Anolis sagrei: one gene and its partners. The main gene of each other region encodes a partner of the protein of the gene in region 2 in a complex. Links are inferred from orthologs where the notes say so. Each region holds a gene or a part of one and is shown on either strand. Other genes may lie near its edges. The genes, in order: SPTLC1, ORMDL3, SPTSSA and SPTLC2.

Region 1 (7,645 bases), on a different chromosome or scaffold from region 2:
ATTCTCTCCTGATGTTTCGCCTATATCTATGGCAGGCATCCTCAGAGGTTGCTTGCCATAGATGTGGGCAAAACGTCAGGAGAGAATAATTCTTGAACATGGCCATACAGCCCAGAAAATTCCCAGCAACCCAGTATTCCTGATATGGTTTGTTGATTTATTCCATACATTTTTAATTTACTAATACAGATGACATATAAAACACTAAAATCCCAGGTTCATGGTGGCACGTTCAGAATGAAACCCATGATTTACTTAACAGCTCACCATACACACAAAAGGCTCACTAGATTTATAGAAGACAACCTGAACCTGTATATGTTTATTTAGAAATATGCTTAATTGCTAGTTCACAACTTCAACTAATGGTGGATCTACATTATAGAGTTAATACAGGTTTGACATTGCTTTAATTGCTGGCTCTGTGGTATGGAAACATTGGAACTGTGAGTTTAGTAAAGCACCAGCATTCTTTGGCAGAGAAAGCGAAAAACCTTGTAAAACTACAAGTCCTAGGGTTTCATAGCATTGAACCAGGACAGTGAAAGTGCTGTCAAACTACATTAATTCCACAGTATAGGTGCACCTCTTGTTATTTGACAATCACTAGTCAGTAAAAAAGGCATCCAGATTTAATTTACCTCTTAATAGCACATGTCCAATAATTCTTTAACAGCAGGGATTTTCATAATATATACCCAAGCACCACTATATTCAAAGACTAAGTTTCAGGGCATTCATAGGATAGTACTCCAAACTGCTCTGATTTGAGATTAATGAAAATTAAATTTATTTTAGCAGAATATTAGCTAATATAGCACGCTCAGCTACAACATGATCAAAAAATCTCCAGAGTAAAATAAATAAAGATATAAATAAAGGGTAGCATTCTTCAGATAGGGTGCAGAAATGTATAGCTCTGGAGGAAATTCAGATGTCAAAGTAATGATCAAACATTTTTCCTCCACCTTGCCACTAAAGTACGACTGGTGGGAACGAGAGAGGGCCTTGTCTGCGATCACCCCCCATCTCTGGAATTCCCGCCTTAAAGAAATAAAAATGGCACCCTCCCTTGCAGGTGCTGTAATTTCATTTCAACTGAACTTTTGGTGTTTCTGTAAACTGAGTTCTATGTCAATGTTTTTTCATGTTAAGTTACTTGATAGGCTATGTTACCATTTAATTTGAGGTTGCAAGTTTAATTTGACCGTAGATGCTGGTGCATTTTGGGACTTGGTTGGGTTGTTCTTGTACTGTATTTGAATTTATGATCTTGTAATGGCATTGAATGTTTGCCTTTCTGCTTGTTGAAATCTGCCCTGAGTCTCCTTAGGGAGATAGGGCGGAATATAAATAAAGTTGTATTATCATAGTATTACCTTACTGACACAAAACACAGTATGACACAGATATGTATGTTGGATTTTGTATCACAAAATCACAAGTTGAACACTTCCCAAGTGTCTAGGACTGTGCAATGTATTTTTGAATGATGCGCGCAGATCCAAGTAAGGTGGTCTTTTACAGTGGACAAATTGTGATTTAGTCAGTGATGATGATGATGATGATTATTATTATTATTTGAAACACAATAAGATGAGTCCACAGCAGACACTCTGCTGGCTGTTGAATTGGATCACACGTCCGACACTTCCCAAGTGTCTAGGACTGTGTGATGTATCGGCGAATAACGCTTGCAGATCCCAGTAAGGTGGCCTTCTGCAGCTGGCAGATGGTAATTTTGTCAGTGCCTATTGTGTTTAAGTGCAGGCCAAGGTCTTTAAGCACTGCACCCAGTGTGCCAATCATCACTGGGACTACCTTGACTGGGTTGTTCCAGAGTCTTTGCTGTTGGGCTTGGCCTCATGTAAGCCACCCCGAGTCCCCATTGGGGAGATGGTGGCGGGGTATTAAATAAAATTATTATTATTATTATTATTATTATTATTATTCAATCTTTAAATCCGCATATCGTGTCAACTTTTCCAGTTGTTTCTCTGCAATCTTGCTTATTATTATTATTATTATTATTAAACATTTGCTCCTGAACATTTATTTAATACATATCCCATCTGTCTCCCACGGGGCATCTATCATGTAGAATCAATGCAGTTTGTCACCACTCTAATTGTCATGTCTTAATGCAATGGAATTAAGGGAGTGCTGGTGCCTCACTAAACTGCAACTCCCAGGATCCCATAGCATTGAGCCATGGCAGTCAAACTGCTATAACTACAAAGTGCAGAAGTACTTTAGCTGAGATCCATCCTTTTATCTCCTGCCCTGTTTCTCCAAACAGGGACATGCCAAACTGACTTGACAAAGCCACACGTCCAGGCACCGCCTCCTTATGTGTAAAATGAAACTGCTGTGATTACACACCTTGCACGCCCACACAACTCAAACTCACCCCTTTCTGAGATTTCCCTCCCTCCCTGCCTTGATAACTAAGGTCCCTTCCGCACAACTAAATGAATTTTCACATCATCTGCTTTGAACTGGGATATAAGGCAGTGTGGACTCAGATAACTCAGTTCAAAGCAGATATTGTGGGATTTTCTGCCTTGATATTCTGGGTTGAGTGGTGGTGTGGAAAGGCCCTTATAAGGCACAGGAACCCAAAGGCACCAGGTTCTGTCTGGTCTTGGAAGTTCAGCCAAGCCAGCTTTGATTAGTCCTTGGGAGTCCTGTTGGATGTATTTCAGGAACTGGCAAAACCAGCTCTGAGCATCCCTTGCCTAAGAAAACCCTATGGGATGCATATAAGGCCGCCATAAGTTGATAGCAGACCTATTAATGGGGGGAGAGGAATCCCTGAGAATGGCGCCCTCATCCCCTTGAAGCCCTCGCCTCTTTTCTTTCGGAGGGAAAGAAGGCGAAGGGCCGCCCGCGCCTTTAAGGCCGCCCCTCACCTCGTAGAAGGCCTGGACCATCTCCACCAGCACCCACTGCTGCCCCATGCCCTCCGCCGCCATCGCCACCAGCTACTTCCGGGTCTCGGCGAGCCACGGCGCAGGCGCGCGTTGACGTCACGCCGGGTATAAAACAAGAGGGAGGCGCTCACAGGGAGCAAGAGAAGATGGGAGCATCGTCAGTGTTGTCTCTTTGGCCTCGCAGTCTGGCTGGGGTTGCTCTGTTTAGGAGGAAGGGATGTGATTCTTAAAGGGACAGTGACATCAATGAAGTCTGACACCAATTTAACTATCATGGCTCATTGCTTTGGGAATTGTAGTTTTATAAAGCCTTCAGCATTCTCTGCCAAATAGTCCTGGTGCCTCCCCAGGATTCTGTAGTGAAAGTGGTGTCAAACTGCATTAATTCCACAGTGTAGACGCCCCCTTAGTTCGGCAGGGATTATTTACTGGTTTGAGTATCCCTATGTGAAATACTTGATGGGTTCAAAATGTTTTCTTATGTCTGCCAGGATTTTCTTGGCTATTCCATTTCACATTGTGTGCTCATTGTTAGTTTTGAATCAAGAAAGTTTGCTGAAACTTTTTCTTTTTGCTCTTACAGGAGAAATATTCTCCTTTGCATGTTATTTCTATCCCCGCACCAGATAATATATTTTTGTCAGTTTGTTTTGTTAAAAATGTAATACAAATCATAGAATCATACAATCAAAGAATTGTCGAAGGCTTTCATGGCCGGAATCACTGGGTTGTTGTAGGTTTTTCGGGCTATATGGCCTCTAGACCATGGCCGTATAGCCCGAAAAACCTACAACAACCCATACAATCAAAGAGTTGAAAGAGACCTCATGGGCCATCCAGGCCAACCCCCTGCCAAGAAGCAGGAATATTGCATTCAAATCACCACTGACAGATGGCCATCCAGCCTCTGTTTAAAAACTTCCAAAGAAGGAGCCTCCACCACACTCCGGGGCAGAGAGTTCCACTGCTGAACGGCTCTCACAGGAAGTTCTTCCACATGTTCAGATGGAATCTCCTTTCTGGTTGCTCCTGACACGATAAATAAATAAAACCAGATATTATGATATAGCATTAATAATGTCCAGGAATACATCAGCTTCAATAACTTGGCACATGGGCCCCTTCCACACAGCTAAACAAAGCCCTACATTATCTGTTTTGACCTGGGATATATGGCAGTGTGGACTCCGATAACAGATGGCCCTTCCACACAGCCCTATATCCCAGACTACCAAGGCAGAAAATCCCACAATATCTGCTTTGAACTGAGTTGTCTGAGTCCACACTCAGGACCCTTCCACACAGCCCTATATCCCAAAACATCAAGACAGAAAATCCCACATTAGCTGAGTGTGCATTCAGACAACCCAGTTCAAAACAGATACTGTGGGATGTTCTGACTTTATAGTCTGGGTCAGGGGTCCTCAAACTAAGGCCCGGGGGTTCATAAGAGTTCATAGGGATTTGACAAAGAGTCCATGGAAGTTCCTAAAGGTCTTAAAAGTTCTCAAAAGTTGATAAAAGTTCCCAAAAATTTATAGAAGTTGGAAAAAGTTCATAAAGTTTGGGTTACAGGGGCGTTGCCATGGGGCCAGTGTAGGTTCCCACATGGGGGAGAAATAGGGGATTATGGGATCATTCCAGCCTGAAAGATACAGCCAATGTTGTAATTATGCCTTCACACTTGATATATGCACCAGGAAGTCAGTGCCTGCCAGCTCCTTAGAAGTTACTTCTGAATAAATGTGCTTAGGTTGAGTGTGTTAATCATGAGTCAATGATCAACTGTCTAAACTGCAGAATTTATGCAGAGTGACACCATTTTAACTACCATGGGCCATGGCTCAATGCTGTGAAAGTTGTAGTTTTGCAAGGTCTTCAGCCCTCTATGCCAAATAGTCTTGATGCCTCACCAAATGACAACTTCCATGGTTCCATGCAGTTGAGAAATAACAGTTGAAGTGGTATCAAACTTCATTAATTCTACAATGTTGATGCATCCCTAGTTATACTTATTTATATTTTTCTTTCCTCCCAGGATGGCCCCTGTGGTGACTCACAACAGAGCAAACTTCCCCTTTTTTGGTAAGTAAGCAATAATTTTGCTTCTGCAAAGATCAAGGCATGTTGTTTTCATAATTGTGACACAGACCTATGTGTAAGAATGACCTATTAACCTTGACACTGACAATATTGGGCATGTGTGTTTCACACATTTACAGAAATGTTATTCTTTGGTGGATTTATCTCATAGATAGATAGACACATACACAGCAGTCACTTTGGGGATAAACTTGTAAAAAAGAAAAAGGAGATGGCGGCCTAAGAGAGGAGATTAAGCAAATACTACTTCTCTCACTCCAAGGACAAGGCAGTTACAGTTGGGATAGAGGGAGGGCTTTTCATCTGATTCTGGTCATAGGCATGATGGAGTTGTGCCTGCCTCTTCTCATCCTCTGAGGCCAGGACAGTGCCAGTTGGAATACATGGAGAGACTTCTACTTATCCCAACTACTGCCATTTAATGTGAAGTCTTTCTATTATCCACACCTCTGCCTCCAGTGCAAGGACCCTATTCTGGCCATCAGTTGTGAGGACCTTTTAGAAATTACATCCTCATCACACATCAATGCTCTGTCATCAGACAATGTACCTGATGTGAACTTTCCAATGTAAGCATTCCCAGAGGATAAACATGTAATTAAAATGATTTATTAAACAGAAATAAACATAACATGACAAATAACTTATTTTATACATTTAAATAAAATTCTCATTTTTCTTACACACATATGTCCTAGTTAACTCTGATTCTTGCTCTCCTAACCTCAGATCCCTAATTTGTGCTCATACAGAACAGCCTTTTAAAATTATCTCAGACATTGCACCAATTATCACACCCAACATATAATTCTGTCACCCCTCTCCATAGATTCTTACTTTATAATATCTAATATATATGCTATCTTAACATAGGATGGGTATCCCCTACCTTAAATGCTTGGGACTAGAATGTTTTGGATTTGTATAATAATAATAATAATAATAATAAGAAGAAGAAGAAGAAGAAGAAGAAGAAGAAGAAGAATCATCATCATCATCATCATCATCATCATCACCACCACCATTTTTATTTATACCCTGCCACTAACTCTCAAAGGGACTCAGAGTAGCTCACAAAGCACTCAAAGGTGCAAACACCAAAATACAAAGTGCAAAGACAATACCACAGAAGGAATAACAACCAACATAAACATCACAATCCCCCCCCCCCCCGGTTAATATCTATAAAATGTAACAATAGCTGCAGGTATAAAATAATTGCAACCAGTATCAGTCTCATAAAGTGCACAGTGTAATAGTCTCTAGGTCTTCAAATGTTAAGAGATTCTAAACATGGCCAAAGGCTTGCTTGCAGAAATAACCATGTTCTTCAGTTGTATACAGAAGGCTTGGAGAGTGGGGGCTAGCCTAATCTCTCACGTGAGGGCATTCCAAAGTTATGGGGCGCCACCGAGAAGGCCTTCTCTCTCGTCCCCACCAATCACACTTGTGATGGAGGTGAGACTGAGAGGAGGCCTTCCCTGGTAGATCATAGTGCCCATGCCGGTTCATAGAAGGAGGTGCAGTCTCAAAGATAGGTTGGACCTGAAGCATATAGGGCTTTACAGGTAATATACCTACCTACTGAGATATCTTGGAGATGAGGCCCAAGTCTAAATGTTTCATATATACATTATACATACAGCCTGAAAATATGTTTATAAACAGTATTTTATTTAAATAATTTAAATTTTGTGCATGAAACCAAGTCTGGATATATTGAGTCACGAGAAAGCAAAGGTGTGAGTATCTCAGCCAGCCAGAATATTGGAATTTTGGATAAGGAATGTTCAATTTGTATCTAATAAATGAAATAACATTTTCCACTGAAAAGTCCAGAACGTCACACTATTGTGAGGTGATACAACTGCTTCTTATCCTGTAAATGTGGCTAGAAATTCAGAACTCATAAAGCAAGTCCTCTTCTGCTTTACTTGCAAATTTTCAACTGCAGCGACATTTTCTGACTCACCTGTGAAATATTTCTTAAGAGAGCAATTCATCTGGGATTAATGATTATATCACGGATGTGATGAATTACCCGTGTAACAGCTCTCATGCGCAAAACATCTAGAAGTTTATGAAACACTGTAATTTCAGTTATTTGTAATAACATCAGATGGGGGAAAAGTGTTGGGAGTAGGGAGGGCTGAAGCAATAATACATTTCAGCTGGTCGCCGACGGCAAAACAAGCAGAGAAACAGGAACGACATCCTTTAGTTTTTAGCCCAGTCACACCCTCCACTTCTCTGGCTGCTTTGTCTTAGAAACAAATCTCTGAATAAATTATATGGTCATTAAAAATCATGATCAGACCTCACTTCCTACATGAAGCTGCTTCTGTTTTTATAAGTACTCTATTCCTTGAAAACAACTGTGTTCTAATGTGGGTGCTCAAAAAAATTGAAAAAATGGGTAGATCCCACCTCCAAATACCAAGAGGGTGAGTAAAGATAGTCTAGAAACTTTAAATCCTTGAATGTAAATATTGGAGATTAAAAAAAAAAACCCAGAAAATTTAATACAAGAATGAGGACCAGCCAAAGAGGAGTTGATAAGGAGAGAAGACACCAGCATGCAAGAAATTCCTAGGCAGATCTGTGTAAAG
Region 2 (6,983 bases):
TGCCCGCTCTCCTTCCCCCATCATACAGTAGGAATGGGACAGGATGTGTTCTCCCATCAGGTGGGAGAAAGGGTGGTAACATGCAGCAACATGCATTGCCCCACCACTATTTCTCCCATCATACGGGGAAAAGGCAAGGAAAGTGCAGGTAGCTCCATCGGAGCTACACAAAACACACTTTCCTCCCTATAGTGATGGAGGAAGCACCTTTCGGTGTGATGTAATGTCACACGGCAGACCCTGTCCAAGCCATGAAACAAAGCAAAATGGGCATAAAATGCTCTTAGTAAAAAGGTCTTAGGAAAGATTGTGTGCAATCAAAGTCCTAGTGGCAGTGGGAACAAATGCTATAGCTATTGATTTTCTGATGAAAACTTACTTGCACTCTCATGTTCTGGGACTAAGGTTGTCATATTATTTGGCTAACTGGATTATCTAGGTTCTGGGCCCCTTTATCCAAATACCCCATCAACCAATGGGTATCGATATTGGGGGCAAAACTAAGGCATTGATCTCCAAATTAATCCCCCTCCCCATAAATTGATGCTTTCCTTTAGTCCTCACATTTCTAGCAATCTATTCCACTGTTGATTAGCTCTTAAAGTAAAAAAAAGTTCCTCTTAATATTGAGTTGACATTTGTTTTCTGGTCATTTGAATCAAATGATTCATGTTCTAGTCTCTAGAGCAACAGAAAACAAGCTTGTTCCATGCCATTAAAATATTTGTGGCATAACTTCGGATATTTAATAATAACTGTCATGTCATCTCCCAGTCTTCTCTTCTCACATTGATCACACACATTGATCCTCAACTTAATCAATAACAATAGTCCCCAAGTATGCATTCTTGTTTCATAAATCAAACATGTTGGTAGAATGCTGGGATTCTTTCAGGAAATAGAATGAAGCATTTTTTTCAAGATTGAAGTTAGTTGTTTTGACACATTAGATGCACAATTCTGGATAGTGTAACTTCAGGGATTCTCATGACAGATGCTCTTCTCTTTATTTTTCTCTCTTTACCCCTTTCACGGTCCTACCACAAATATTAGTTTTTTTATTTGGAAAATACTGGGAAGGTACATAAGCAGAATTAGTGAAGGCAGAAGAAAATTCCCAGTATATAAATAATCTCTTTGATTTTGTCTTCACATTTCTATGGCTGAAGAAACAATTTCACAGTGGTGTTCCTTGTTTTGGACAAGTAGAAAATAATATAATTGGTAACAGAAAATGTAATACAACATCTAGACCCAAAATGACCACAATAATTTATATGTAAAATGGTAAAGGTAAAGGTAAAGGTTTTCCTCTGACATTAAGTTCAGTCATGCCCGACTCTGGGGGTTGGTGCTCATCTGCATTTCTAAGCCAAAGAGCTGGCATTGTCCATAGACACCTCCAAGGTCATGTGGCAAGCATGACTGCATGGAGCACCGTTACCTTCCTGCTGAAGCAGTACCTATTGATCTACTCACATTTGCATGTTTTCGAACTCCTAGGTTGGCAGAAGCTGGAGCTAACAGTGGGAGTTCACGCCGCTCCCTGGATTCGAATCTTTCAGTCAACAAGTTCAGCAACTCAGTGCTTTAACCCACTGCATCATCGGGGGCTCCACATGATGAGCCCCCGGTGATACACAATGAACCAGGCATGTAGCCAGCGGGGGCTCGGGGGGCTTCAGCCCCCCCCCCCCCTGAAATTCTCATGGTGGTTTGCGAAAAGGCCTTACTGGTGCATTATTTAAACTGTTATGTTTATTAATATCGTGATCTGATCACCATACTCATATATCCCATATACATGGGGGTATTGGGGTAATGATACAAAAGGTTTGCTAGGCTAGACCCTCTTTCACTCAGACTCAGCCCCCCACTGAAACTCAGCCCCCCAGAACCCCCCCTGAAAAAAAATCACCCCCCCCCCCCCCGAAATGAAATCCTGGCTACGGGCCTGCGATGAGCATCTCTTATTTGAAAACCCAATATCTGAAATACTCCAGAATCCAAAACTGTCCATGTGGGGTCTGAGAAAGTGACACTTTTGCTTTCTGGTGGTGCACAAAATCCTCACAATCTCTGAGGATGCTTGCCACAAATGCAGGCAAAACGTCAGGAGAGAATACTTCTAGAACATGGCCATATAGCCCAAAAAAACCCAGTGCCCAAAATTATGTTAAAATATTCTATAAAGTTATTTTCAGGTTATGTGTATATGAAACATAAATGAATGTGTATATGAAACATAAATGAATTTTGTATATAGAATCATAGAGCTTGGAGAGATCACAAGGGCTGTTCACAACATCTTGCCATGAAGCCCTTTAGGTCCCATCTCCAAGACATCTCATCATGAACATATTCATATATACAGATATTCCAAAGTTTAGAAACAATCCAAAACTCCAAACACTTCTGGTCCCAAGCATTTTGTATAAGGGGTACTCAACCTGCATGTTGATCTTGGGAGATGGGGTTTTTTTTGGTAATTTTACATCCCAAACTGGTTGAAACTATCAAACCAAGTACATGACATTTACTATGATAGATTTTCAAAAGGTCTTTAGGGAGGAGTAACTTATTAAAAATAGTTAAATTTGCTCTCTGGGGGAAAGAAGAGTATTCTAAGCATAAATGTTTCATTCTGGATGAATCCTCTTTCAGACTGACATTCCCATATCCTTATATTTCATGTCTTATTTAGATTGCAAACCCTGGGACAGGGAATTGTCAAGCTAACAATTAGTAAGCCACTCTGGGAGTCTTTCTAGCTAAAGGATGAAATATAAAAATAGGTTAAGCATCCTTTATCCAGTATCCAAAATACTCCAAAAGTGCCCATATAGATGACTGAAATAGTGAAGCCTTTTCTGTCTGGTGGTCAGTATTCGCAAGGTTTGCTCATGACCCAAAAAACGTTGTCTATAAAATTACCTTCAGTCAATGTATATCAGATGTCTATGAAATATAAATGTATTTCATGTTTAGGCTTGGAACTCATCTCCAAGAAAATCCAAAATCCAAACACTTCTGGTCTCAAGCATTTTGAATACTCAATCTGTACTCTAAATAAATGAATTATCTTCTGTCCCCCAATTCATCCAACAAGCTCAAGGTAGCATATCTGTTTCTTCTGTTTCCCACTTTATGCAGGGAAAATGAGATATAAATGTAACTAATGTCTGAATGCAGTTTTATGCTGGAAAAATTGGATATAGAATCATAGAACTACAGAGTTGGAAGAGACCTCGTGGGCCATCTAGTCAAACACCCTGCCAAGAAGCAGGAAAATTGCATTCAAAGCACCCTGACAGATGGCCATCCAGGCTCTTTTTAAAAGCCTCCAAAGAAGGAGCTTCCGCCACACTCCAGGGCAGAGAGTTCCACCACTGAACAGCTTTCACAAGAAGTTCTTCCTCATGTTCAGGTGGAATCTCCTTTCCTGTAGTTTGAAACCATTGTTCGACATCCTAGTTTCCAGGGCAGCAGAAAACAAGCTTGCTCCCTCCTCTCTATGGCTTCCCCTCACATACACGACCATCATGTCTCTTCTTAGCCTTTTCTTCTGCCCAGCTCTTTAAGCCACTCCTCATAGGGCTTTTTCTCCAGACCCTTGATCATTTTAGTCGCCCTTCTCTGAGCACATTCCAGCTTGTCAACATCTCTCTTCAACTGCGGTGCCCAGAATTGGACACAATATTCCAGGTATGGTCTAATCAAGGCAGAATAGAGGGGTAGCATGACTTGCCTGGATCTAGACAATATACTCCTATTGATGTAGGCAAAAATATTATAAATGATCCTCACTATTATTATTCAATTCTGCCCTTAAAGGGGAATCCAATTCATCCTGCAGTTTGTCTTAACACTTCCAAAGAAAGAATGTGATCAACGCCAGAGTCCCAGCTTCTCCCTTAGAGAACTACATGTCCCAGCATGCTCCACTGTCTGATAGTGATGACGTATGCGAAGGGGGCGGTGCTATGAAAGCTCCTTGCTGTGTTGTCAGCTCTTGGGAAGAGAAGTCTGAGCAGCGGGGGTCTTTCAGAGCAGAGAAAGAGACCCCCCTTCCCCCGATTGCCCAAGGCCAGGCTTTTCCAGTTAATCCACATTGGAGAGAGACATTTTCTTCCTTTTTCTGTTGCAAGGTAAGTGAGGATCATGGAAGGGGAGCTTGGGGAGAGGGTCAGATGGTGCTTTAAGCCATGGGAAGGGAGAAGGTTGGGTTTGCTGGGCAGCACAGGCTCCCTTATCTAAAAGGCTTAGGATCAGAAATGTTTGGGGTTTCACATTCTGGATTATATGAAAGACCTATTTGCATTTGCTTAATTTTGCATAGATGTCCCTAATGAGATCTCTTGGGAGATGGGATCCAAGTCTAAACAATATTCATTTGTGTGTCATACATCCCTAATGGACATAACCTAAATGAAATGTTATATATTTAAATAATATTGTGCATGGAACAAAGTTGGTGTCCATTGAACTAAGCTAAGATACTACTCTCTCAGCCACTGATGTGGACAGTTTTGGATTTTGGAGTATTTCAGATTCTGAGATAAGGGATTAGTAAATAACCTGAATCCATAATATACATAGAATCATAGAGTTGGAAGAGACCTCATGGGCCATCCAGTCCAACCTCCTGCCAAGAAGCAGGAAAATTGTTATTCAAAGCACTCCTGACAGATGGCCATCCACCTTCTGTTTAAAAGCCTCCAAAAAAGGAGCCTCCACCACACTTCGGGGCAGAGAGTTCCACTGCTGAACAGCTCTCACAGTTAGGAAGTTCTTTCTAATGTTCAGATGGAATCTCCTTTCTTGTAGTTTGAAACCATTGTTCCGCGTCCTAGTCTCCAGAGCAGCAGAAAGCAAGCTTGCTCTCTCCTCCCTATGATTTCCTCTCTCACATATTTATACGTGGCTATCATGTCTCCTCTCAACCTTCTCTTCTTCAGGCTAAACATGCCCAGCTCTTTAAGTCGCTCCTCATAGGGCTTGTTCTCCAGACCGTTGCATAAAAGAAAGTTTGTGTGCATGGAAGCATCAGTAAGCAAAGGCATCACTGTCTCAGCCACCCATATGGATAGTTTGGAGTATTTGAGGATTTTTTTTTTCATGTCAAGAGCAACTGGAGAAACTGTAAGTTGCCTTTGGTGTGAGAGAATTGGCCATCTGCAAGGACGTTGCCCAAGGGATGCTCAGATGTTTTACCATCCTGTGGGAGGCTTCTCTCATGCCCCACATGAGAAGCTGGAACTGACAGATGGAGCTCACCCCGCTATCCGGATTTGAACCGCCAACCTTTTGGTCAGCAGTCCTGCTGGCACAAGGGTTTATTTGAGGATAAAGGGTTGATTTTAAAGTATTTGCGGATCATAAAATAAGGATAAGAGATGCACAATGTAAACCTAACCAAACAAGGAGTGGTCCAGCAACGGAGTTGTCTTGGAAGGATAAAATCATAGAATTGGAAGAGACCTACAGGGTCATCCAGTCCAACCCCCCTGCCATTGCAGGAATGCACAATCAAAGCACTCGCAGCAAATAGCTACTCAGCCTCTGCTTCACAACCTCCAGAAAAGGAGATGTGGCAAAGGGAACATGCATTGTTGCTGTTCCTTGGCAAGTGTGCATGGATGGAGAATAGCTCTTAAGATGAGGGAGTAGCAGGGAGAAATTGTGAAATTGTAAGTGTATCTACACTGTGGAATGAATGCAGTTTGACATCACTTTTACTGCCATGACTCAGTGCTATGAAATCATGGAAAGCAATAAGGTCTTTTGCTTTCTTTGCCAGTGAGTAGTGGCACCTCACCAAATGACATATTCTAAGACTCTGTAGCATTGAGCCATGGCAGTTAAAGTGTATCAAATTGCATTCATTCTACATTGTAGATCAGGCATGGTCAAACTTTGGGTTTGACTATGCCTGGTGTTTTGGACCAACTCCCACAATTCCTTACAGCCAGTAGGCTGTTAGGAATTGTGGGAGTTGAAGTCCAAAACATCGGAAAGGCCGAGGTTTGCCCATGCCTGGTGTAGATGCACCCAGACACAGAATTATGTGGACATTTTTGGATTATCAGAAATATTTTCCAATATGTTGGCGAGCAGCTTTAGGTTAAGATGGAAATGTAATGAGGAGATAAGTTGGGAATTTAGTGCCAACAGTAGTCTGGGCAAAATGAGGACATGAACACTGCCAAATAAGAATTTTGCCGCCACCACGATTAAATTTTCCTCCCGTTCCCACATTTCTAGCTTTGCAGTAACTTAAAACGTCAGTTGAGGCCTTTAGAAAAATATGTAGATCTCCAAAGAAAGAGGGCAGGTAGAGTCACCAAGGGAACATACAGGAAATGTAAGAGTTCTGAGTGTGAATTATTTTCAGTCTCTGTCTTTGGGATAGAAGGAAATGTTCATGGGAGGACACTGCACTCATTTCGCCCAACTCCCTAAAACTACGGCTCAAAGTGCCAGTGTTTCCTTCTTTCTTTGCTTCTCAATTTCTAGTTGTAACTGGGAGCGAGCATAGGAAAGTCTAATGCGTCGCCAGGGTGAAGCGAAGGCTGGATGCTGTTGAGGACACGCACGCACACCTTCTTTCTGCGTGTCACAGCCAGTGACTAAATTTAGAGTCTGTGGACCATGAGTCATTTTAGCTTCAAAACTCCAACAAAGTATTTTGTCACTAGGGTTTATTTTTATTTTATTAGTAGCAGTTACCTCCTGCTTTTCTTCCAATGGACTCAAGGTGGTGTAACTGCCTTCTTCCCAACAAAGCAGAGAAAGTGCCCAGTGTCATCTAATGTTGTGTAGGATTAGAGCACAGATTTTCCAAGGCTCCATCTACACTGTAGAATTAATGCATTTTGGCACTAATGTAACTGCAATGGCTCAATACTATGGCATCCTTGGAGTAGAGGTTTTATAATTTTTTTAGTTTTCTCTTCCAAAAATTGCTGGTGCCTCCCTAAACT
Region 3 (6,868 bases), on a different chromosome or scaffold from region 2:
ACACAAAGCAAAAGCTTTCTATTTTGGCCACGACTTCACCCTAAAGAGCCAAATGAAGCCCAAGGCCACCTGTCACTTGTCCATTCCTGTTCTCATCTCACATCTCCTGCCCTATCACCAATTGACGCAAACCCCACAAAAAGAGTAAAGGTAAAGTAGGCAAAACCCAATTCGTGCACGACTGAGAATCATAGAATCATAGAATCAAAGAGTTGGAAGAGACCTCATGGGCCATCCAGTCCAACCCCCTGCCAAGAAGCAGGAATATTGCATTCAAATCACCCCTGACAGATGGCCATCCAGCCTCTGTTTAAAAGCTTCCAAAGAAGGAGCCTCCACCACACTCCGGGGCAGAGAGTTCCACTGCTCTCACAGTCAGGAAGTTTTTCCTCATGTTCAGATGGAATCTCCTCTCTTGTAATCAAGGGAAAATCCTGCTCTGAATTTAAAGGGGAAGGGAAGAACCACAGAGACATTCAATAGACATATAGGCTGAGTACCCTTTATCCAAAGAGCTTAGGAGAAGATGCATTTTGGATCTCTTTGAATTTTTGAACACCTTTATTTGCATATAAATACATAAAGGGAAATCTTGGCGATGGGATCCAAGTATTTTCATACAGAATATTTTTAATCAACTTAAGCATTACACCAAGCTTGTGTACTGATTGACTCATGCCTACATATGCCACTAATGTGATGCGCAATAAAGGGAGGACATCCCTCACCCCATGTCATAACACACAGCAAACTAAGCGTATTGCATAAGTTGTACCATTAGAAATCAAAGGGAGTCATTATCTCAGCAAACCCATAGTGAATTTAGGAATATTTGTTTTTAATTTTAGAATTTCACACAAGGAGCACTCAACCTGTAACATAATACAACAGTTACTGTGGTATACTATGTGTTGAAAAATGAATCCAAGTTCAAGTCCCAGCTGAGGCATAAAATTTACCAGGGGACCGAGTCAAGTGTTGAGAGCCAGCTGAGACCCTTATCTCTCCTAGGGCCCTCTCCAACATGTGTTTAAGTAGGATGAGGGAAGGCTCCTTCTCAGGGCTGGTACTGACACCTTGAACTTCTTTCCAGAAGAGCTAAGACCACCACCATCTCTGTTGTGTTTCCAGAGGGGTGTAAAGACCTTACTATTTAAGAATGCTAGTAATTAAAGTTTGAGCCGTGTTTTTGGGGCTGGGTTGAGTTTTAACGTCTAATATTTTATTTCAAAGGGGTTTTATACTGAGGAGATGGGATTGGGTTATGTTTTAACTTTGGTAATTATGTTTTAATTTTGTACTGGAGCCCCTCATGGCACAATAGGTTAAATCCTTGTGCCAGCAGGACTGAAGACCGACAGGTCAGAGCTTCGAATATTGGGAGAGAGCGAATGAGCTCCCTCTTTCAGTTCTAGGTCCCCATGTGGTGACATGAGAGAAGCCTCCCACAAGATGGTTAAACGTCAAACATGCTGTCATCCTCTGGGCAAGGTCCCTGCAGACGGCCAATTCTCTCACACCAGAAGCTACTTGCAGTTTTTCAAGTCACTCCTGACACTGAAAAAAATTGTATTATATAGTTTACATGTTGTAGGCCACCTTGGGTCCACTTGCAGAAAAAGGTGTGGTAGAAATATCTAGAATAAATAAAATGCTGGATTTGCCACTTTTCTATTACTTATTTATTTGTCATGTTTATATCCCGTTCTTCTCAACCCCAAATGCACAGAGGCACAATTTGATGCCAAACAGTTTGGTTTTTTTTTCGTGTCAAGAGCGACCACTCCTGTTGTGAGAGAATTGGCCGTCTGCAAGGACATTGCCCAGGGGACGCCTGGATGATTTTTTGATGTTTTATCATCCTTGTGGGAGGCTTCTCTCATGTCCCCGCATGAGGAGCTGGAGCTGATAGAGGGAGCTCATCTGCCAAACAGTACATACAATACATATCCAGCAAATAAAAATATACATAAAAACATCCACTAAAACATGCCATCATTAAAATTATTAAAATCCCATAGTCCATTAACATAATTGAGGTTGTTCCTATGATCATCACACCATTCCATGTTCACATATTGCACTAATAAATTAAACAGCGAGTCCACAAAAAGTAAACCACGAAGTAGCGAGGGACCACTGTATTCAGTTTCAATTTGTTTGCCCTCATCTGACCTACCTCACAAGCTTTTTGTGAGAACAAGCAAGCGGAAGAGACGCTCACTGGAGGAAGAAAGAGAGGATATAAAAATCCATGAGTAACAAAGGGTTGGAATTTTAAAAATCATCACGGCAGCTGTTTTAATTTTAATTGGGACGCTGAATTAAAATAGATGTCACACCTCACACGATTTCTTGCATACTCAATATTTATAATCAATTCAATTGCTACTCTGTTTTGTCAAGTGTGACTGCTAATGCCTTGTTGTAATTTCTTTTAATACTCTTGAACACCTCTCAGCAAATTATTAGGAGGCTTTGACTCAGGCCTGGGCAAACTTGGGCCCTCCAGGTGTTTTGGACTTCAACTCCCACCATTCCTGACAGCCTCAGGCCCCTTCCTTTTCCCCCTCAGCCGCTTGGCTGAGGGGGAAAAGGAAGGGGCCTGAGGCTGTCAGGAATGGTGGGAGTTGAAGTCCAAAACACCTGGAGGGCCCAAGTTTGCCCAGGCCTGAAATACACCCAGTGTCCTCCCTTCAGACACTCAGGGAGGGCCTGAGGGGCCTCCTTCCTCCACCAAAGCCAGGCCTTTCCCACTTCCTGTCCCCTCCTCTTCCTCCTCTTCTTCCCTCCCAAGTCCCTGAGAAGAAGCAGCAGCACGGAAAGGATACTGAACACCGTCCGCTCCCAGGGCTCCAGCATGTACAGCGCGGTGACCAGGAGGTACTGGTAATAGAACCACGACATCCGCTTCCAGGCCGAAGAGAACGCCATCACGCCGCCGCTGAATCTCCGTGAGTAAGGTAACCGCGCCTGCGCAGAAGGAGTCATATCCAGGCCCAGGCGGCAAGAAGGGGCGGGGCGAGGTGACGTCACGCACAGTGTCTCCGCGGATTGGCCAGGCCCGCTGAAACACTCACACTCGAATCCTCCCAAGTTTTTTTTCTGGACTTCAACTCCCAGAAGCCTCCGCTGCTTTCACCCATGATTAGGTATTCTGGGAGTTGAAGTCCAAATCCCCTGGAAGGCCATGGTCTGGGAAAAACTGAACCCTGGGTTGCTGTAGGTTTTCCAGGCTGTATGGCTATGTTCAAGAAGTATTGTCTCCTGACGTTTCGTCCACATTTATGACAGGCATCCTCAGAGGTTGTGAGGACAATTTCAACAGAAAGGAGGAAACCATGAAAATGAACAAAACAGCATATTATTTGAGGACACAGAAATGCTGGACCACTCTCACAACCACCATGTCAGACTACACAGAGAAGCCATTGAAATCCACAAGCATGTGGACAGTTTCAACAGAAAGGAGGAAACCATGAAGATGAACAAAATCTGGCTACCAGTATTAAAAAAAAACCTCTAAAATTACAACAGCAAAACAACAGAGGGAGAACAATCAGGGACATCTAATCACCTCTCAACAAAAGACTGCCCCAGGCACTAACAGGCCATCAAATGCTAATCAAGGTGGTCAGTTGAAACATTCACACCTAGCTCCAGCAGACAAGAGTCTTTTGTCCCACCCTGGTCATTCCACAGACATATAAACCCACTTTCCTAGTTCCCCACTACCTCTGAGGATGCTTGCCATAGATGCAGGCGAAACGTCAGGAGAGAATGTCTCTAGAACAGTGATTCTCAACCTGGGTCCCCAGATGTTTTTAGCCTACAATTCCCAGAAATCCTAACAGCTGGTAAACTGGCTGGGATTTCTGGGAGTTGTAGGCCAAAAACATCTGGGGACCCAAGGTTGAGAAGCACTGCTCTAGAACATGGCCATATCGCCCGAAAAAACCTACAACAACCCAGAAGTCCAAATCCCCTGGAAGGACATGGTCTGGGAAAAACTGAACCCTGGGTTGCTGTGAGTTTTCCAGGCTGTATGGCCATGTTCCAAAAGCATTCTCTCCTGACGTTTCGTCCACATCTATGACAGGCATCCTCAGAGGTTGTGAGGTCTGTTTGAAACTAGGCAAATGAGGTTTATATATATGTGGAATGTACAGATGGGAGAAAAAACCCTTTGTCTGCTTGAGGCAAGTGTGAATGTTGCAGCTGTATAGTACAATATAGTAATATTTTGTATTGTATAGTACAATATAGTAATGCTTAATACTGATATTGTAATATACTAATAATATAATATAGTGTATGTAGATATACCTTGTGAGAAGGGGTTAAAAGGGAAGTATAGAAATAAATAAATAACTGGCCACCTTGATTAGCACTAATGGCCTTGTAGCTTCGAAGCCAGGCTGGTTGCTGCCTGGGGGAATCCTTTATTGGGAGGTGTTAACTGGCCCTGATTGTTTCATGTCAAAAACTCCCGTTTTTTGAGTGATGCTCTTTAATTTACTGACCTGATTTTAGGGTTTTTAAAATACCGGTAGCCGGATTTTGTTCATTTTCATAGTTTCTTCCTTTCTGTGAACCATGAAAATGAACAAAATCTGGCTACCAGTATTGGAAAAAACCTCTAAAATCAGGACAGTAAATAAAGAGCAACATTAAAAAAAACTGGGGAATTCCTGACCAGCTGTTAGGAATTGTGGGAGTTGAAATCCAAAACACCTGGAGGGAAGGCCAAAGTTTGCTCATGCCTGATCTAGATGCTGTAGAATTAATGTAGTTGGACACAATTTTAGCCGCCATGGCTCTATGCTATGGGGTTTATAGTTTGGTGAGGCATCAGCACCATTTGGCAGAGAAGGTTTGTAAAACTACAGCTCCCATGATTCCACAGCATTGAGCCATGGCAGTTAAAGAGGTGTTAAACTGCATTAATTATATTATAAATGTAGATTGTATGGTGTCACGCACATGAACCTCCTCTCATGCCACACATTGTGGGCAAAGTACCAGAAAATTGGCATAACCAGCTACTATTAAGAAGCAAGCAGCACAACAAAAACAGCATGTGTTATTTTAATATTTAAATATTACAATGAATGCCGTCATTTCATCTGCATGTGCTATGCAGATGAAACAACTTCATTCATTTTAATATTTAAATGTTTTTGTAACATTAATGGTGTGTTTTTAAATTTACATTTTAATGTATTCACATTGTTTTAAATTGGCATTGTTTTTAGTTTATTGATAGCATAAATAGATAAAAGTACAATAAATAGGAAGCATTGTTGCAGTTGGATAACAATGACATCTCGGCCGCAGCACATAGGCATTTGAAGGTTCAAAAAGAAAAATTAGCATAGAGTTTTAGCCTTGCCGGTATATTGGAACAGTACAGAAACTGAACTTACAGAAAATGTATTGTGTAACCACAGGGATGTTTTTATGAAACATACTTTCCACTGAAACGCTGCACAAGGGTTTTATAGACAGTCATTTTGCTGTCACTTCCTCCTTCAGTGTCAGCTACCAATGCCACTGAAGTGATCTGGAACAAAGGTTGAAAAGGACAACTGAAATGACATTGAACAACTCGCAGGAGAGTTTGGGGCTCATCTGCTTGGGAAAGAAGAGGGGAGGCAGATGGCTTACCTAATTTGAGAACCACTCACTTTTTAAAATTGTTGTTTTAACTCAGTGCCCTCATATATCCTCAGATCACTGCTTAAACTGTGGGTCCCAACCCCAAATGGGGTCCCATCAGCTCAAAGTTGGAGTCATGAAAAATCTAACAACAGTAAAAATTTCTGAATGTCACCATTTACCCAAAATCAGAGTTGGAAGAGACCACATGGGCCATCTAGTCCAACCCCCTGCCATGCAGGGAAAGCACAATCAAAGCACCCCTGACAGATGGCCACCCAGCCTGTTTAAAAGCCTCCAAGAAAGGAGCTTTCACCATACTCCGAGGCAAAGAGTTCTATTGCTGAACAGCTTGTACAGTCAGGAAGTTCTTCCTAATGTTCAGGTGGAATCTTGTTTCCAGTAATTTGAACTCCTTGGTCTAATCTCCAGGGCCTGCTCCCTCTTCCAATGTAGTGTTTACAGTGAACTCTGCAGAAAATGCTTCCGCTGTCCTTCTGTTTAGCAAGCCTTGCAAATGCTGATTTATTAACAGTAAATGTTTGGTTTGTATACCTATTTTATATACCTATATACTTGGGGTCACAGAAACATTTCTTTGGCGGAAAGGGATCGCAACTAGAAAATATTTAAGAAGCCCTGCTCTAGAGCACATGGAAGCAATTCTACCATGCCTCTGGTTTTTCCTAAATTCCTCTAGTTTTCCTTCAGCAAAAGGCAATGACTGAAAATATTTGTCAAGTGTTGAAATATTCCCCAACATAAGATATGGTAAAATTGTTCCTCATATTTCGATTTAACGAAAACAATTCAAAATACAGAGGAAAATTGAGCCACATTTTCCTAACTCCTAATTTTTCAGCATTCTGGGCATTTTTACATTCTAAATGTAGCTCTTTAATCCCATTGTATCTCCTCTTGGCAATATACGTAAAGGAGAAAAAAAATACTCTTATGCCTTAGCAATGTTCCACTTTTGTTTTTCTTCAATGGCATTTTTTAAAAATCTGATGTAAACACATGCAGAAAATTCTTATTTTTCAATAAAAAGCGATCTCTTCATTCTTTTTCTAGTATTTAGATTGGTAGTAATCAAGAATGAAGTATACTGATGCACGGTCTGCGCTAGACTAAAAGCCAACTTTCATAATCTAATATAACTTTCATAATAATCTAATATTTAATAATCTAATATCAAATCTAGAAAGAC
Region 4 (7,910 bases), on a different chromosome or scaffold from region 2:
TATTTATTTTAATATTGATTTCAAACATTTGTACCCCGTCCTTCTCAACACCCCCCCCCCCCCCGGGGGGGCGGAATCAGGGCGGCTTACATTTGGCACAATTTGATGGCATTACATATCAATAATACATACAGTAATTACATATAAGAACACAGTAAATTAATTTTAAAATTAGTTTTAAAATAAAAAGTATATTAATAAAAAGTTCAATAGTACTGGCTGTCTAGCCTTATGTAGAAACAAATTCAGCAAGCACAACAGTTTTTTGGGCTTCAACTCCCACAATTCCTAACAGAAGTCCAAAACACCTGGAGGGCCCAAGTTTGCCCATGTGTGGGTTATACAATAGTTGTATGCAGCATAAATGCCTGGGGAGACACATCCCTTATTTAACCATCCAGCTTTGTGTGTGTGTGTGTGTGCCAGGAGCAACTTGAGGAATTGCAAGTCACTTCTGGTGTGAGAACTGGCCGTCTGCAAGGACGTTGCCCAGGGGCTTGCTCCACTGTCACATAAAGTGGAGAATTTTTCTAGGTAGTGCCATTAGTCAGGTTGTCTTTTGATCTGGCCACTCAACTGAATCTGTGCAAGAACTTCCAAGTTGCCTGTTCTTGGTTTGCCCCTGGAGGAAGACCCTCATGGGGGACTATCCAGTTGGAATTGCCTGATTTTAATGCCCACGAGGATATTCTTGCTGTTGCTGAAGGCACATTAAGAGGAGTGGTTGTTCTCATGAAAGTTTTCCTTGACTTGAGTCTACTGGGAGGAGGCTGATATTTATTAATTTATTAATTTATTAATTATTTCTATCCCGCTTTATCTCTCCATATGGAAACTCAAAGCGGCTCTCAATCAAAAACATTGCAACTTAAAATACACAAATATAAAATAATAAAACAGTATATCTTTATATATTACTAGCTATCCCCTGCCACGCGTTGCTGTGGCCCAGTCTGTTGATATGGAAAATAAAGTAACGAGAAAGTGTTGGTTTCTAATATATGTAATTTTTTATGCTTGTGGGTAAACAGTATTTCTTGCTGTTTCTTTGTCAGTGTTGATGTGGAGAGTGTCTGGTTTTCCTGCTCTGGAACATGCAACATATAATTGTCCTTCTTCAGGGGTCCCTTTCAAATCTATAATACTATATTTGTGTGTGTGAATCATATCTGTCTATATCTATGGCTGGATAACTCTTTGTCAGGAGGCTTTGATTACATTTTCTTGCCCTGGTCATGGGGGTTCTGTGTGGTAGGTTTGCCCCGATTTTGTCATTTGTGGTGTTCAGAATGCTCTTTGATTGTATGTGAATTGTGAATCCCAGTGACTACAACTTCCAAATGTCAAGGTCTATGTCCCCCCAAACTCCATCTGTGTTCGTATTTGGGCGTATTGAGTGCTTGTGCCAAGTTTGGTCATTGTTTGAGTCCATAGTGCTCTCTGGATGTAGGTGAACTACAACTCCCAAACTCAAGGTCAATGCCCACCAAACCCTTCCAGTATTTTCTGTTGGTCAAGGGAGCTCTGTGTGCTAAATTTGGTTCAATTCCATCATTGATGGAGTTCAGAATGCTCTTTGATTGTAGGTGAACTATAAATCCCAGTAATTACAACCCCCAAATGACAAAATCATAATTTTTGAGTGATGGTCACTCCTTGTGTTGTGAGATGTTTTGTTGCCAAATTTGTTGTGATTTAGTTCATTGGTTTTTTTGTTTTTAAGGCACTCATTAGGCACAGAGCATTTATATATAGAGAGAGAGATTATATATTCTCAGTAATAATTATATTTAATATATATTTAATATATAGTAATATATTAGCATTATTATATTACAATATTTTATGCAACGAAGATCCGCATAGTTAAAACAATGGTATTCCCCATAGTCACCTACAGATGTGAGAGCTGGACCACCTACGGATGTGAGAGGCTGAGCGAAGGAAGATAGCCGCTTTTAAACTGCGGTTTACAGTGCAATTAAAACATAACAATGCAACAAACAGGATCAACAACATCGATCCACAACAAGCTTTCTTTTCTTCTCATGATGTGGCCAAAATACTTCATCTTTGCCTCTTCTATCCTTTCCTCCAGTGAGCAGCCGGGCTTTATTTCCTGAAGTATGGACTGGTTGGATCTTCTTGCAGTCCAAGGCACTCTCAGAGCTTTCCTCCAGCACCACAGCTCAAAAGTATCTATCTTCCTTCGCTCAGCCTTCCCTATGGTCCAGCTCTCACATCCGTAGGTGACTATGGGGAATACCTTTGCTTTAACTATGTGGATCTTTGTTGCCAGTCTGATGTCTCTACTCTTTACTATTTTATTGAGATTGGACATTGCTCTCCTCCCAAGAAGTAAGCGTCTTCTGATTTCCTGGCCACAGTCTGCATCTGCAGTAATCTTTGCACCTAGAAATACAAAGTCTGTCACGACCTCCACGATTTCTCCCTCTATTTTCCAGTTGTCAATCATTCTTGTTGCCATAATCTTGGTTTTTTTGATGTTTAGCTGCAACCCAGATTTTGCGCTTTCTTCTTTCACCTTGATTAGAAGGCTTCTCAGCTCCTCCTCGCTTTCGGCCATCAGAGTGGTGTCATCTGCATATGTGAGGTTGTTAATGTTTCTTCCAGCAATTTTCACCCCAGCTTTGCATCCATCAAGCCCCGCACATCGCATGATGTGTTCTGCATACAAGTTAAAAAGGTTGGGTGAGAGTATGCAGCCTTGCCGTACGCCTTTCCCAATCTTGAACCAGTCTGTTGTTCCGTGGTCAGTTCTTACTGTTGCTATTTGGTCCTTGTACAGATTCCTCAGGAGAGAGACAAGGTGGCTTGGTATGCCCATCCCACCAAGAACTTGCCACAATTTATTATGATCCACACAGTCAAAGGCTTTAGAATAGTCAATGAAGCAGAAGTAGATGTTTTTCTGAAACTCCCTGCCTTTCTCCATTATCCAGCGGATATTGGCAATTTGGTCTCTCGTTCCTCTACCTTTTCTAAACCCAGCTTGAACATCTGGCAACTCTCGCTCCATGTATTGCTGGAGTCTTCCTTGCAGGATCTTGAGCATTACCTTACTGGCATGAGAAATAAGGGCCACTGTACAGAAGTTTGAGCAGTCTTTCACATTTCCCTTTTTTGGTATGGGGATATAAGTTGATTTTTTCCAGTCTGATGGCCATTCTTGTGTTTTCCATATTTGCTGGCATATGGCATGCATCACCTTGACAGCATCATCTTTTAAGATTTTAAACAGTTCAGCTGGGATCCTGTCGTCTCCTGCTGCCTTGTTGTTAGCAATGCTTCTTAAGGCCCATTCAACCTCACTCCTCAGGATGTCTGGTTCTAATTCATTCACCACACCGTCAAAACTATCCTTGATATTATTATCTTTCCTATACAGATCTTCTGTATAGTCTCGCCACCTTCTCTTGATCTCTTCAGCTTCTGTTAGGTCCCCGCCATCTTTGTTTCTTATCATACTAATTTTTGCCTGAAATTTACCTCCAATGTTTCTAATTTTCTGGAAGACGTCTCTTGTCCTTCCTATTTTGTTGTCTTCTTCCACTTCCATGCATTGCTTGTTTAAAAATAGTTCCTTATCTCTTCTGGCTAACCTCTGGAATTGCGCATTTAACTGGGCATATCTCCCCTTAGGCGCAAAGATCTGCAGATGCAGACTGTAGCCAGGAAATCAGAAGACGCTTACTTCTTGGGAGGAGAGCAATGTCCAGTCTCGATAAACTAGTAAAGAGTAGAGACATCAGACTGGCAACCAAGATCCGCCTAGTCAAAGCCATGGTATTCCCTGTAGTAACCTACGGATGTGAGAGCTGGACCTTAGGGAAGGCTGAGTGAAGGAAGATAAATGCTTTTGAGCTGTGGTGTTGGAGGAAAGTTCTGAGAGTGCCTTGGACTGCGAGAAGATCCAACCAGTCCATCCTCCAGGAAATAAAGCCCGACTGCTCATTGGAGGGAAAGATACTAGAGACCAAGTTGAAGTACTTTGGCCACATCATGAGGAGACAGCAAAGCCTAGAGAAGACAATTATGCTGGGGAAAGTGGAAGGCAAAAAGAAGAGGGGCCGACCAAGGGCAAGATGGATGGATGGCATCCTTGAAGCGACTGGACTGACCTTGAAGGAGCTGAGGGTGGTGACGGCCGACAGGGAGCTCTGGCGTGGACTGGTCCATGAGGTCACGAAGAGTCGGAAACGACTGAACGAATGAACAACAACAACAACAACAACTCCCCTTATCCCTGTTTCCTTTTGCTTTCCTCCTTTCTTGGGCTACTTCCAGTGTCTCAGCAGACAACCATTTTGCCTTCTTGGTTTTCTTTTTCTTTGGGATGTACTTTGTTGCCGCCTCCTGAACAATGTCGCGGACTTCTGTCCATAGTTCTTCTGGGACTCTGTTTACTAAATCTAGTCCTTCAAACATATATGTATTTATATAGATTATTATATATAATACCTATATAGTGGGCGGCTTTCAGTGTTCAACTTTATCTCTCTCGCTATTGGGAATGGTGGGACTCCAACTCCCACCATTCCCAACAGCCTCAGGCCCTTCCTTTTCTTTCTCTCCCTCCCTCTCTCTCTCCCTCCCTCTCTCTCTCTCTCTCCCTCCCTCTCTCTCTCCCTCCCTCTCTCCCTCCCTCTCTCTCTCCCTCCCTCCCTCTCTCTCACCCTCTCCCTCCCTCCCTTCCTCCCAGTCCCCCCTCCTTCTTCTGAATCGAAAAGAACGGGCGCTCAGCTTGCCAAGGCCCGCCAATCGGAAGCCGCGACGTCACCGTGAGGGGCGGAGACAGAGCACAACTGCCATGCACGGGGACGTCTCCGCCCCCCAAGGTGACGTAACGGCCTCGGATTGGCGGGCTTCCCCGGCTGAGCTTCCGGTGCGATAGAGCGGCGCAGCGACGGGCGGAGGGTTGGTTGGTTTCTAAGGCTGCCGCCGCCGCCGCCGCCTCTCTTCCTCTCGCCGTCCGAGCCGGCAAAATGGTGCGCGGGCCCGAGAAGCTGGCTGGCCCGCCGCGAGCCAACGGCTGCAGCCTCCCCGGCCATAAGAACGGCTTCGTCCGCAGCGCCCCCGAGCCCCACAGCCAGGTGAGTGAGGCAGGCGCTGCCAGGAAACCCCGCCGGCCGCGCCCCTGAGGGAAGGCCTGCTTTTCCGGCCCGCTCCCCTCTTTCCCTGAGGCGGCGCCTTCCGGAGGCAGTGGAGAGGACCGGGTGGCAACCCTGCGCTCCTTCCTTCCTCCCTTCCTCCCTTCCTCCCTTCCTCCTCTCAGAACCATATTGGAGGGAGAGGCCTCAAGGAGCCTCCAGGCCATCCCCATGATTTCCCCTCAGAAGACATTTGGGTTTTGGAAGGATTTCTTTCAGGATGAGGAGTAAAGTGTACAAAATAGGTTAGACTCACGGAAAATTCAGTCCAACATTTCCTCCTAAAACCTTGAATTAGGGAATGATGGAGATAAGTTGTTTTCAGTACGTTAGAACAGGCATGGGTCAACTTGGGTCCTCCAGGTGTTTTGGACTCCAACTCCCACCATTCCCAACAGCCTCAGGCTTAAGCGGCTGAGGGTGAAAAGGAAAGGGCCTGAGGCTGTTGGGAATGGTGGGAGTTGGAGTCCAAAACACATGGAGGACCCAAGTTGACCCATGCCTGCATTAGACACATAGAGCTATCCAGTCCAATCCCATTTCCTTCCCAAAACTTTATATTTTCCCCTCAGAGAAATTCAGGAAATACTCTTGTATTATGAAATAATGTATTTTGAATATACTTGGCAGAATGGGGTTGGACTGGATGGCCCACGAGGTCTCTTCCGATCCTATGATTCTATGACATGGTTCTCGACTTGGTTCCCCAGGTGTTTTGGCCTACAACTCCCAGAAATCCCAGCCAGGTTACCAGCAGTTCTAGGAGTTGAAGGCCAAAACATCTGGGGACCCACAGGTCGAGAACTACTGTCATAGAATCACAGGGTTGGAAGAGACCTCCTGGGCCATCCAGTCCTACCCCATTCTGCCAAGAATATTCAAAATACATTATTTCATAATACATTTGAATATTTCCTGAATTTCTCTGAGGGGAAATAAAAAGTTTTAGGAAGGAAATGCGGTCATCCTGGCCATCCAGTCCAACCCCATTCTGCAAAGAAGCAGGAAAATTGCCATTCTGGGTGTTGAAGGCCAAAACATCTGGGGACCCACAGGTCGAAAACTACTGTCATAGAATCATAGGGTTGGAAAAGACCTCCTGGGCCATCCAGTCCAACCCCATTCTGCCAAGAAGCAGGAAAATCACATCCAAAGCACCCCCAAGAGATGGCCATCCAGCCTGTGTTTAAAAGCCTCTGAAGGAGGAGCCCCCACTACACTCCCGAGGCAGAGAGTTCCACTGCTGAACAGCTCTCGCAGTCAGGAAGTTCTTCCTAATGTTCAGGTGAAATCTCCTTTCCTGTAGTTTGAAGGCATTTCTCCGCATCCTAGTCTCCAGGGCCGCAGAAAACAAGCTTGCTCCGTCCTCCCTATGACTTCCCCTCACATAGTTATGCATGTCTATGTCTTCTCTCAGCCTTCTCTTCTTCAGTCTAAACATTCCCGGCTCTTTAAGCCACTCCTCATAGGGCTTGTTCTCCAGACCCTTGATCATTTTATTTACCCTCCTCTGGACACATTCCAGCTTGTCAACATCTCCCTTCAATTGTGGTGCCTAGAATTGGACACAGTATGACTCCAAGTGTGGTCGGACCAAGACAGAATGGGGGGGGGGGGGGTAGAATGACTTTCCTAGATCTAGAGACTAGACTCTTATTTATGCAAACCAAAATCCCATTGGCCTTTTTTGCCACTGCATGACATTGTTGGCTCATGTTTCACTTGTCCATGAGGACTCCCAAGATATTTTTCATACGTACTGCTGTCCAGCCAGGCGTCCCCTATTGTGTATCTTTGTATTTCATTTCTTCTGCCTAAGTGGAGTATCTTGCATTTGTCCTTGTTGAACTTCATTTTGTTAGTTTTGACACATCTCGCTAATCTGTTAAGATCGTTTTGAATTCTGCTCCTATCTTCTTGGGTATTAGCTATCCCTCCCAATTTGATGTCTGCAAATTGGATGATCATGCTTTCTAACCCAGGCATGGGCAAACTTGGGCCCTCCAGGTGTTTTGGACTTCAACTCCTGCAATACCTAACAGACTTCCAGCTGTTAGAAATTGTGGGAGTTGAAGTCCAAAAGATTTGGAGGGTGAAGTTTGTTCATGCCTGTACTCACCCTTTATCTAAGTCATTAATAAAGATGTTGAACAGATCGGGGCTCAGGACAGAACCCTGCAGCACTCGACTTGTCATTTCTTTCCATGATGTATCAGATGTTTTTATCAAGAGACTTACTGAAAAAAAGGACTGCGAAGAGCCTTCCATTAATAATAATAATAATAATAATAACAACAACAACAACAACAACAACTTTATTTATATTTCACCTTATCTCCCCTGGGGGACTCAGGGCGGATTCCAACAAACAAAAAGGGACACATTCAATGCCTCAATAATAGTAAATACAAATATAAAAACCCAAGATAACCCCACATAAAGAGCAACTTAAGCATAACAACTATAATTTGAATAAAACATACTCAATTAAAATTATAACTAACACAGAACTTAAAAATAAAACATCCAAATTAATATATCAAAACAACACAAAGGTTCACAAATGTGTACATAGATTGTATGGTGAAAGTTGGTAAGTGGGCTAATGTGATCTAACAAGGCCCGAGTGCATTCATACTATCCAGTCAGCAGTCTGGCAGTAGTTTCTCTTCATCTGATCCTCGTCCTTTCTAAAGATAGGTTTTAAACTGTTTTTTGAAGGACCCCATTTACGTCCCG

Evidence for each region.
Region 1: the proteins of ORMDL3 (region 2) and SPTLC1 are in contact, whole or in part, in a cryo-EM structure (PDB 7K0N), measured with the Homo sapiens proteins. The link is inferred for Anolis sagrei from reciprocal best matches to the Homo sapiens genes ORMDL3 and SPTLC1. Residues at the interface, in NP_001307730.1 of Homo sapiens: Gly92, Val93, Gln94, Phe95, Thr96, Ala97, Lys100, Thr103, Ile104, Ile107, Tyr110, Phe111, Ser114, Tyr119, Gln121, Phe124, Thr128, Leu131, Met132, Leu139, Pro140, His143; in NP_006406.1 of Homo sapiens: Ala16, Leu17, Ala20, Pro21, Tyr23, His24, Leu27, Glu28, Leu31, Ile32, Trp34, Ile35, Leu38, Leu39, Ser41, Lys42, Thr43, Tyr44, Lys45, Leu46, Gln47.
Region 3: the proteins of ORMDL3 (region 2) and SPTSSA are in contact, whole or in part, in a cryo-EM structure (PDB 7CQI), measured with the Homo sapiens proteins. The link is inferred for Anolis sagrei from reciprocal best matches to the Homo sapiens genes ORMDL3 and SPTSSA. Residues at the interface, in NP_001307730.1 of Homo sapiens: Val36, Leu38, Ser39, Ile40, Pro41, Phe42, Ser44; in NP_612145.2 of Homo sapiens: Ile44, Tyr50, Thr51, Val54, Phe55.
Region 4: the proteins of ORMDL3 (region 2) and SPTLC2 are in contact, whole or in part, in a cryo-EM structure (PDB 7K0O), measured with the Homo sapiens proteins. The link is inferred for Anolis sagrei from reciprocal best matches to the Homo sapiens genes ORMDL3 and SPTLC2. Residues at the interface, in NP_001307730.1 of Homo sapiens: Met1, Asn2, Val3, Gly4, Thr5, Ala6, His7, Ser8, Pro12, Val16, Ser19, Arg20, Gly21, Ile22, Leu24, Ser25, Leu28, Phe63, Val67, Lys68, Gly69, Thr70, Pro71, Phe72, Glu73, Pro75, Gln77, Arg81; in NP_004854.1 of Homo sapiens: Glu65, Thr66, Pro67, Met68, Ala71, Val72, Tyr75, Tyr86, Gln116, Phe118, Glu119, Asn120, Phe121, Tyr122, Tyr127, Trp134, Asp259, Glu260, Leu261, Asn262, Val267, Arg271, Ile279, Met320, Val495, Val496, Gly497, Phe498, Pro499, Ala500.

Annotation. Positions count from the first base shown.
Region 1 is NC_090022.1:235,620,870-235,628,514, forward strand, and holds the start of SPTLC1 (serine palmitoyltransferase 1), read right to left. Parts: upstream 3,005-7,645; 5' UTR 2,976-3,004; coding exon 2,913-2,975; intron 1-2,912. UniProt on the Homo sapiens protein: Component of the serine palmitoyltransferase multisubunit enzyme (SPT) that catalyzes the initial and rate-limiting step in sphingolipid biosynthesis by condensing L-serine and activated acyl-CoA (most commonly palmitoyl-CoA) to form long-chain bases.
Region 2 is NC_090026.1:42,251,402-42,258,384, reverse strand, and holds the start of ORMDL3 (ORM1-like protein 3), read left to right. Parts: upstream 1-3,976; 5' UTR 3,977-4,148; intron 4,149-6,983. UniProt on the Homo sapiens protein: Plays an essential role in the homeostatic regulation of sphingolipid de novo biosynthesis by modulating the activity of the serine palmitoyltransferase (SPT) in response to ceramide levels.
Region 3 is NC_090021.1:300,873,107-300,879,974, forward strand, and holds the start of SPTSSA (serine palmitoyltransferase small subunit A), read right to left. Parts: upstream 3,007-6,868; 5' UTR 2,992-3,006; coding exon 2,832-2,991; intron 1-2,831. UniProt on the Homo sapiens protein: Component of the serine palmitoyltransferase multisubunit enzyme (SPT) that catalyzes the initial and rate-limiting step in sphingolipid biosynthesis by condensing L-serine and activated acyl-CoA (most commonly palmitoyl-CoA) to form long-chain bases.
Region 4 is NC_090021.1:307,157,364-307,165,273, reverse strand, and holds the start of SPTLC2 (serine palmitoyltransferase 2), read left to right. Parts: upstream 1-4,894; 5' UTR 4,895-5,006; coding exon 5,007-5,114; intron 5,115-7,910. UniProt on the Homo sapiens protein: Component of the serine palmitoyltransferase multisubunit enzyme (SPT) that catalyzes the initial and rate-limiting step in sphingolipid biosynthesis by condensing L-serine and activated acyl-CoA (most commonly palmitoyl-CoA) to form long-chain bases.